Linked DNA regions of Coturnix japonica. The protein of the gene in region 1 purifies or fractionates together with the protein of each later gene. This does not show direct contact. Links are inferred from orthologs where the notes say so. Each region holds a gene or a part of one and is shown on either strand. Other genes may lie near its edges.

Evidence for each region. Proteins that work in one complex are often made in the same cells at the same time.
Region 2: the proteins of RPS6KB1 (region 1) and EIF3B purify together in Homo sapiens (affinity purification with western blotting; 3 studies listed by BioGRID and IntAct, with this or other methods). This does not show direct contact. The link is inferred for Coturnix japonica from reciprocal best matches to the Homo sapiens genes RPS6KB1 and EIF3B.

Annotation. Positions count from the first base shown.
Region 1 is NC_029534.1:6,133,894-6,138,652, forward strand, and holds the start of RPS6KB1 (ribosomal protein S6 kinase beta-1), read left to right. Parts: upstream 1-1,156; 5' UTR 1,157-1,323; coding exon 1,324-1,395; intron 1,396-3,396; coding exon 3,397-3,446; intron 3,447-4,486; coding exon 4,487-4,607; intron 4,608-4,759. Other genes in the region: TUBD1 (tubulin delta chain), read right to left, coding at 372-543. UniProt on the Homo sapiens protein: Serine/threonine-protein kinase that acts downstream of mTOR signaling in response to growth factors and nutrients to promote cell proliferation, cell growth and cell cycle progression.
Region 2 is NC_029529.1:3,199,168-3,204,152, reverse strand, and holds the end of EIF3B (eukaryotic translation initiation factor 3 subunit B), read right to left. Parts: intron 4,831-4,985; coding exon 4,705-4,830; intron 4,198-4,704; coding exon 4,120-4,197; intron 3,673-4,119; coding exon 3,564-3,672; intron 2,983-3,563; coding exon 2,879-2,982; 3' UTR 2,860-2,878; intron 1,759-2,859; 3' UTR 1,186-1,758; downstream 1-1,185.

The DNA of each region.
Region 1 (4,759 bases):
CACTAGATTCAAACAGTCTAGGCCCTACTCAGCGGTGCTATCTGCCTACAGCAGGAAAAGCAGATGTTTGGAAGAGCAGATCATTTATGCATACACGTCCTGTCTCCAGCTCTGTTACTGGCAGATGTGCTCTGGGGCCTCAGTTACTCTACCAGCTGTGACTTTGCTTCTGTAGTTGTAAGCAGTGTCAGGAAGGCAGAAGGTTGGGACAGTTCTTCCAGACTGAAGGTAGAACTTGGATGGTGTCAGTACCAGGCAGGAAAACAGACCCTCTGTGGGACACAGAACACCTAAAGGCTGTATCCTCTGTGGGACACAGAACACCTAAAGGCTGTATCCTCTGTGGGACACAGAGCACCTAAAGGCTGTACCTCCAGACTCTGCCTCGCTGAAAAACCGTTCTGTACAGGCATGGTGGTAGGCTTCGTTCTCCTTCTTGGAACACAATCCATGCGTGCCACGGACATCACCACAGATGGTGTTAAACACCTCCTGACCTATTTGGTTACCACACTGCCCAAGCTGGACTGTGACTATTGACATTCTAATTCACCTCGTGTTTGGCCCTAAACAAAAGAAAAGCACGATGGGGGGTTAAAAAACCGATGTTACAAAGGTTCTCTCCCCGCACAGGCCGCTCCCGCCCCCCTGGCGCTGACAGGGCCCCTCACAGCGCCGCGATCTCCCGCCCGCTCCCCACAGCCGCCATATTGTCGGGCCGCCCCTCACGTCTCTCGGCCGCCCTTCCCCTCCCAGCTCCTTCCTCCTCGCCGTTCCCTCCCTCCCCGACCTCTCATCAGGTCGATGCCGGCTCAGGGGGGTGGGTTGGGCGGGTTCCACACACTATGGCCCCTCCTCAAGGCTGACGAGCCCCCTGCCCGCCGCGCCTCACTGGGGGCAGCCCGCAGTGCGCATGCTCAGAGGGAACTCGGCGCAGTTCGGGCACAAGCGTCGGGCTGCGGCGCTTCACAGCGCGCACTACGCATGCGTTACGCACGCGGCTTCGCTGCGCAATCTACGCAAACTCCGTACCGGGAGCGAGGGAGGTGGGCTCATATTGCGCATGCTCAGCTTCAGCTCTACGCCCGCCGCCCGGCCGAGGCCCTCGCCGCGCATGCTCAGTGCGGCACCTGCCGCCGCAGGATGGGCTTGTGCGCACGCGCGGCGCCCGCAGCCGGGGCGGGGGCGCATGCGCAGTGAGGCCGGGCGGCCGTGATGGCGGCCGTGGCGGAGTTGGGGGGTGCGGGCCCATGAGGCGGCCCAGGCCTCGGGCACTCAGCGCAGCGAGGAAGGGGCGGCCACGCCTCGGCTCACACCCGCGCCATGGCGGGCGTGTTCGACATCGATCTGGACCAGCCCGAGGACGCGGGTTCGGATGAGGAGCTGGAGGAGGGGGTGAGAGAGGAGAGACCGACCGGAGCGGGGAGCGGGCGGGTGGGGGAGGCCGCAGGGAGGAGCGGAGACAGGGGGAGGAATGAGGGGGCGGCGGGGCTGGACGGGGCGGCTGTAGGCGGCTGTAGGCGGCCAGAGCGGCTGAGGCGAAGAGAGGCGGAGGCCCAGGCCCGGGCCCGCGCAGGTGAGGCCGCGCCCCGCCCCGGCTGCGGCCCGTCGAGCTCCGGCCCGTCCCTGCGGTGCTTCCATCGGTACCTCCGCTGCACCGCTCGCTAATAGCGGCCTTGTTCCGGCGGAGAGTTTTACCCTGAAATGTTCGCGGTGGGTTTTGTAGCACGAGCGTGGCAGCGGGGTTTGGTGTCACATGTGGGGACGTCAGTGCGGCTGTGCTCTCGTCTCTCTGGAGCTGCGTGCAGGCATCGCTCTGGCGCCAAAATCAAAAGCAAAGCTTTGAAATGCTGTCCGGGGTCTGAGCGTGTCCCCACATGGGTCACTCCGTCATCTGTATTTATTCTTCTATCATACTCATTTAGATGCTTTTAAGGCCCCTTCGGGTATCCTCTTGCGTGGTCGCTGTTAGTATCTAGTGTTATTTATGTTAGCTCTAGTGCTACCGTTGCTTTTATATGTTGTTGTATATATTAAATGTTTGCTAGTGCTTAAGCTGCTGCATTCCTGCTATGCTATTTGAATACCAGTCATTGGGATTAGCAGACACCCCAAAGTACAGCTGCAATATCACACTGCATGTGAGCTGCAGAGTCTGCTGGCTGAAGGCAGGGCAGTGCTCAGGCTGTGGGAGAAATGCTGTCTGCTATCCCAATAATCAATACAGGACCTGGCTTACAAACGTCGGTTGCAACACAGCACCTGCATTGCCAAGAACAGGTTCTAAGAGTAGCACAAAAATCCTTGTGGCCCAGCTTCTGTGCACAGTGGCAACCTAATGCAGTACTTAGGTGCCTCTGGGGAGATTAGGGTGGACTTGAAATTAAAACAGAACTGGGGAGAGGGGAACATGTGAGCGTGAGGAAAGTGTGAGTAAAAGGTGTTTTTTTGTAGTGATTGTGCGTATCTTAGAAGGATCTGAAGGACACTGAAATTCATCTGGGAACGCGATGGGTGTTTATTCTGTTTGTTGAGTTGGTGGCTGTTTTGAATTTGTTCCTTGTTGTCTCATGGTTGGGTCAAGGGCACATTTAGCTGGTTCTGTTGTGAAACAGATGGCAGGGGGCTGGGTTTCTCTAATAAACACTAGCAAGGGGATGTGAGCAAGCAAACCTCTGTCCTGGAATCAGACTCGAACTTCATTCAGGATTCTGGCTGTGGATTCCAGGCTGTAGATTTGAAGCTGTTCATCACTGACTCGCAGTTGCTGTTTTATGTATATATTTTTAAAACTGAAAATGTAACCTGTCACAGTCTGAAGTTTGTTAGAAGCTTGCCCATTAAATTCTATTTGTATTCCTTCCAGCTGTCTGCTTGCTTTGCACTTCTGCCATGTAGAGCCACATTTAGAGCGAGGTATTATCTTGCATTAGGGGTCCAGCTGAAAATTGTTTGAAGAAAATATGCCTTCAAAATTGAACTGCATTCTTTAATGGCGTCTGGTCCTGCTGTTGAAGTGCTTGAGCCTTTTTAGAAATATTTGTGCATTAATCTGCCTGAATGATTGTTGATCAGAAAATACATACAGGACCAGAGTGTGTTATTACTACTGGGCTATGATTACCACCAGACCTCCTGCATCAGAATTTAAGCTATGTGGAAGCGTTGCAACTCTTGGACTGTATTTTTTAGGCTTGTTGTCTTCTGCTCATAATTAATGATTCTTGATATTTAAACTTGTTTAGTTATATATACATAAACATATATGTGTGTGCACATGTAACAGAAACTATATGTGTAAACATATTCACACATGTAAAGAAGCTGTAAAAGACATGTATTTTTAACTATGCTTTCTTATGTTGCATTTAATCTTCCTTCTACTCCTGTCCCCAGGGTCAATTAAGTGAGAGCATGGACCACGGAGGAGTTGGCCAATATGACCTGTAAGTTGCTACTAAGAAAATGTTCTGTACCATTCATGCCAACTACGTATAGCCTCTACTTTGGTTACATTGTTAAGTTGAATAGGAAATTTTGTCATTCTTGTTCAGTTTGAGTTGCTTTAGTTCTTTTGCTATTTCTTCACATTAAAGTTTGTGACTGTATGTAAAAATAATAATAAAACAAATTCTGGCAAAACCTGCTGTTGTCTTTAATCCTTGTTTCTCCTAACATAGCTGTTGTGTTGTATTTGAATAATACTTGCAGTATGAGTGTAGTGCCCTCTTTGCAGAACATTCTGTGTTCTGTCGGGCTTATAGAGGCTCTGGCTGCATATTTGCACAGCAGTCTGAAGTAGATGAGAATTCAGTTCTGATTTGATTGCACAAGACAGCTACCTTTAGCCATGCTTTATGTATAGATACCCAGCTTGTTTTCAGTGTCCCACACGTAACGAGAAAGCAGCAATAGTTCAAACAGTTCAGTTACCTTTTCTGTAGCAGGGTCAGGTGTTGGCCTCACCCTGTCTTTTATAGAAGTGTAGTATGATTTAGAAACATCCTTAAGTTGTGGATCAGTCTTCTGTGGCACGTTCAGAGTTGTGACTTCTTTTGTTTTAGCTTTTTCTGCACAGTATTTGTTACAGAAGTTATATTGTGACTGTGGGGACTGCTGGATGTGATTTAAAACTCAAACACACCTTGCAGCATTGTTATCTTTTGGGAATGTCCAACTCAGCTTGAGTTGTTGGCCGTTCAAACTTAATTCTGGTACAATACAGAAATATATGATGCATTGAAATGAAGGCATCTGAAGGAAATCTTGATACAGGCAGATAGTCTTTTGTGCAAGCTGAAACATAGTGCTTTGCACACACAGAGCTGTAGTTTCTGATGCTAAAAATCCTCCTTATCTCCAAAACAGTCATTCAGATATGTCAGTTTTAGCGTGAGTTTTGCCGTAAGTGGTTTGCTTGCTTACTTTTCTCTTGATCATTGTCAAGTACCAGGTAGTCTTATATTCTTGTTTCAATTTTATCCAGTGGCATGGAACATTGTGAAAAATTTGAGATTTCAGAAACTAGTGTAAACAGAGGTCCAGAAAAGATCCGACCGGAGTGCTTTGAGTTACTGCGCGTACTGGGCAAAGGAGGCTATGGAAAGGTAAGGGACTCTTTTCTACAAAGATAAACCCCACTATACTGAAGGCAGTAAAAGTGCTCGCCTGCCACACTTGGGAAGGTCTGACCTTTCCATCCCATGTTCTAAAAAGTTCCTCCTATGCATTTCATAATGAGTAATTGCTTTTGTATTGG
Region 2 (4,985 bases), on another chromosome or scaffold:
GGCCAGTAGCTGCTTAGAAATCCTCTGCACGGAGGTAGGAGAAAACTATTCAGTTCTTAACTTTGAAAATGATTGATAAGGCAGCTCTTCACAACTAAATGGTTTATTTAATAAAGATAAGTATTAGAGAACATCACATTGTTAATGGCAATGCTACAAGTCCTGCACTGCTTGTGGCAGAAAGTTCTTCCTCCAGTGCAGCTGAAGGATGAGCTTGGTAAGCACTGTGGATTTAAGTTTTATCTCAATGAAGTACATATTGATTGTGAATGAACAAATTCAGACACTGGAAACTAAAACAGACGTTAGGGAAAAATTCTGATAGCATAAGAATGACCTGTGGATGCTTTAGGTTAATATCATTATTGAACAATAATTTTGAAGAGCCTTCCTGATGAAGGGAACACGAGTGTCAGCTGAGAGATTTGAGCATTTGTGATCACAGCAAGCTCACCTAAGGACAGAGAAAAGTGACTGGTAGAAATGCTGATGTCCCTTAGCTGCAGACAGCTGAGTAGGGGTTTCCTTTTCAAGAAGCCTTCCACTGCCTTCCACTTCAGGTCCATCAGATAAAGCACCACGTTAAGTGAGCTCAGGCACCCAGCAATTTCACTGGCCAGTCCTGGAAAGGGGACAGGTAAATACTCATTCCCCTCTAGCCCTCACAAGGAAAGCAGCAGGCCAGCAACATCTTTCATTGCTCTGTTAATGTAGGGAAAATAATTTCTGCTCATAGATATGAATACTGAAAAGTTGCTCCACCAACTGTGCACTTTTCACCACTAAACAGGGAGAGCTTTAGAAATGAAGTAACACACATAAGATGGAGCCTAAGGCACATGTATAAACACTACTCAGACAGTTTTCAAATTCACGACCAAGTGAGACTGTTCCAGGAGTTCCCAAGGCTCATATCAGATTCCAATTGGTTTAAGAAACCAATTTATTTTCTACTAGTCACTCCATTAATCTTGACAAATTATCCTGCTAATTATAATGAGCTGTAATATCATTGTAAACACAAAGTAAAACCATGGCAACACACGAGAAAGAAATAGCCATGGGAAACTGAGAAAACACAATCCAAAGCAACTGTAAAGCAAATATAGCTAACATTCATATTAATCTGGGTATATTTCATCATTTAGGGAAAGATTCCCTAGGAACAACAACACACAGACAGACTGGTTTTAGTATCGGTCTGCTTTTATTTCCATATTCAGCTCTTTGAGGGAGACATCCTTTCACAATCTGAAAGGAGGAGGATATAGCCCACTGTAGTGCTGCTTCAGCACACTAAAACATGTCATACGAAAAATGGATCTGTCGACTTTTCCCCAAACAAAGTGAACACCTGTCCATGCACTCGGGACATAAAAAGAGTCCTGAAACAGAAACATTGTGGGTAAGAGATGTGCGCTGATGAATCCCACTTCACTGGCAGGAAGTCAAAAATGCCAGTTGGGAAGTACTGCACAGGAGTCAGAAGTAAATACTGGTATTAGTGGATTTAAAAAGAAAATTGAACCCTTCAAAAAAAAAAAAAAAAAAAAAAAGAATAAAAATTTAAAAAGCAGTGCCTTTTCAATATCTCACTGTAACAGGCAGCAAGATTTAAAGGCACTACAGTGTGGCAGAATGGAGAAAATCTGGTGCATCCACCCTTCCAGAGTGTAAGAATATGGATTAAAAACTCCAAAATTGATGTAGACTTTCTGGAAATGAACAAACCTCTTTTCAGCACAAGTTACGATGGTGCTGCAAAAAGGAAAGAAGAGATGAGTCAGTTGCTGTGCTTTTTACAAACAACCTTACTGCAGATGCTAGCTGGTGAAAGGCTACAAAGTACGTGCTTCACCTGTTCTTAAATTGGTATTTAAGTCCAGAAACAAGGCAGCTTCTCTCCCTCTACCTTCCATAAGGTATCTCCCACATATGGAACATAGATAAGCTAGATTTATTTTAATCTCTAAATATTAAATCTATTATTTTTTTTCTACAAGAGGTAAACAGCTCCATATTTTGACTCCTTGGATATCCAGGGGCTACAAAGCTGTGCAGTGACAGCTGCAGAAGGCATGCTTCCAGTCTCCCCTTCCTTAAAGGAAGTCCTAAACATGGCAGAAAACCTGAATTACATTCTTGTGTAAAGTCCCATGTGAATACCTTCACCAGTAAACTTTCTTTTCCCTCCTGAGTACAATTTCCAGCTCCTTAAAGAGAGAACATTTCCTACAGGAGCTGCTGAAACCAGCATCTGTTTTCAACATACAAAGATACAATATGAATTTGTAAAGCAGAACATGGGAAATCATTGGATTAAATAGAGATTTCAGCAGCAAGCAGTGAAGGTTAGACAAGAGAAGGAGCTGCTGCCAGATTTCTAATCATTTCTAGAATATCATAGATTTCATGTGGACATCTAAACACCTGCTCAAGTTCTATCGCAGTTAACGTACTGTACAACCTTAAGCATATTATTTAAGCCCTGTCCGATATTACCTAGCATGAAATTCTTACAAAAAACAAAATTTTCAAGTCTTATATTAAGTTAGAGTTCTGTCAGTAGCAGAAATTGAAAAGCCTGCAAGGAGCTCCATTTAGAAGTTGACCCTGGTTGTCACAGCAGTCATTACTCTTGCAAAATAGGACGTAGACAGTATTCCACCCAGTACAGCTCATAAATCTGACAGTCTGTGACTGTATTTAAGAAAGCTCTTGTTTGTTCACTTCAACCACATAAAGCAAAGCAAACCAACTCAGAACAGCACATGCATTCATGCACAAGCAGACAACCTTCTGAAACAAATTAATTTACAGTGACAGTTGACAGTAAAGTTCCTCTTTTCTGAAAGCTACCTTACCACAATTTATTAGATTACTCTGGTTCTGCAAGGGTAATAATTTCTTCATTGATAAAAAATTCAACAGTTTCCTCTTCCCAGTCATCAACATTGCTGTCCAGCTCATCCGTGTCTACCCCTGGAATGGAGAAAGGAATAACACAATGCCTCAAACACAGCAACAAGAGAATGATTCTATGATCTTTGTAGGAACAGTTCTTAAAACAGCACTGAAATGAGAGGTACTTCTTGTTTCAAATCATAACAAGGACATGCTAATCTACGTGTTCCTGCTCCAGCAGGAGGATTGGACTAGGTGATCTTTCAAGGTCCCTTCCAATCGCTGACATTCTGTATAATGTCAGTGCGTGACAAATAAGGCATTGCTGTCTCCCACCACAGAGTTCTTGAGGACTTTTTTGGCTATACGTAACATCCAAATCTCTTATGCCAAGGTCAAACCAAGGCTCGCCTCAAAGCAGAAAGAAGATACGTAAAGCACAGGCAGCCATGTCTGGCAGCCAGCACTTTCAGTTTTAATTAATTAATCAAAATTAATTGTGATTTAAGAAAATAAAAATCAAGAACAAAACCTCCAGAAAAAGTTTGGCAGGAAAAGAATAGAGAGAAAAAGTAAACGAGTTAGCAGAACAGTTGATACTTGTTAAGAAGTGGTAGCTATCTAACATCAAGTCCGTACAAGTACTGCATGTGGCTCACCTCCTCGAAGCTCCAAGCGCTCGTTCCTTTGCTCCATGTACAGCTCTTGTGCCATCTTGCGGTACTTTCTGAATTCTTCCATCATTGTACGTCTCCTTTCCACCAGCTCCTACAGAGGCAAGAAGCTGTTAACTCATAACAAGCAAAATGCATGCAAAATGCATTTGTTAGCAAGGAAAACTTTTCTTCAGTCCTTTCCACTGACTTAAAACCGTTTATGTAATTTAAGAGCTGCTTTGGTAAGGGTTTGTTTTTCTGTTTTTAAAGGCTTTTTTATTAGATTAAATAGTCTAATACAACAAGTAACTAAGAATCCCAAACTTTCACTTCTGCTTACTGAGCTATCACCGGTGTCTCTACAAATTCATTACCGCTTAACCTGAAAGCTGAGTGGCATCTGTGTGCACTACCCATGGGAAGCAAGTCTAAGCACCTGGATTAACACGATCACAGATGTTCATAATAAAAGAAATCTAACATATATGACCATTACAACAATGACATTGCACAGATTAAAAGAGCTTCATTTATGTTATTGTATTTCAAAAAGTCTTACTTTTGAAGCTTTCGACTGGCTCAAGCGATCCTTCTGCTCAAATATCTTTGAGTATTTCTTCAGATCCTTCTTAATTTGCTGTAAAACAGAATTTTATTTCAGCTAAGGTTCAAGTAAGACTAACAAACACAATCATCACATTCTAATAAGAATTTCCCTGGCAGTTTTAAGTATGCTTAGCATACTTAACATAACAACTGCTTTTCTAGGCCATTCCTCTCCACTGTTATTTTATTTGTTCTTCCAAGCTTACAGATAACAAACATCTCTGTAAGTATTCAATTACAGAAGTCTGGACAGGTTATGTTCAGTTGTGTTACTCTTCACATCCTCTCACTATATCACAACAGTAAGCACAACTGGTTACCGTTTCTATTCCAAACATAAAGAACAGTTAATATTTATCAGTCACTCCCATAAGTGAGGTCCACTATGGCAATATGGTTTTTCAAAAGCTCAGGGAGAAAAGCAATCTTACAGCTCTAACAGTTCAAGCCTCATTCTCAAGGAAAGGAAGATAAACCCTGGTTTGTATATACATACACACCAAACCCATGTCCAATAGGATTGAGTGGAATACACTACCTTTATCTGATCCTCACTGAGCAAGGTAGCTGGTCGTGGTCTCCACAGAAGCTGACAGAACCTGTCCTTATTGTTTTTCTGAAGCAGACGTCCTTGGAAAGTCCACAACCAATATGCATTGTCCACCTGCAAGAGTGGTGTAACATCTCAACCAAGGCAAGCTGTAGTTTAACACTCTCATTCTCACTATATATCTTATAAGGATATATTAAGAACATTTCATTTGTACATAATAAAAGTAGCATCATTAGTCAATGAAAACAACGTGATTTTTTTGTTAA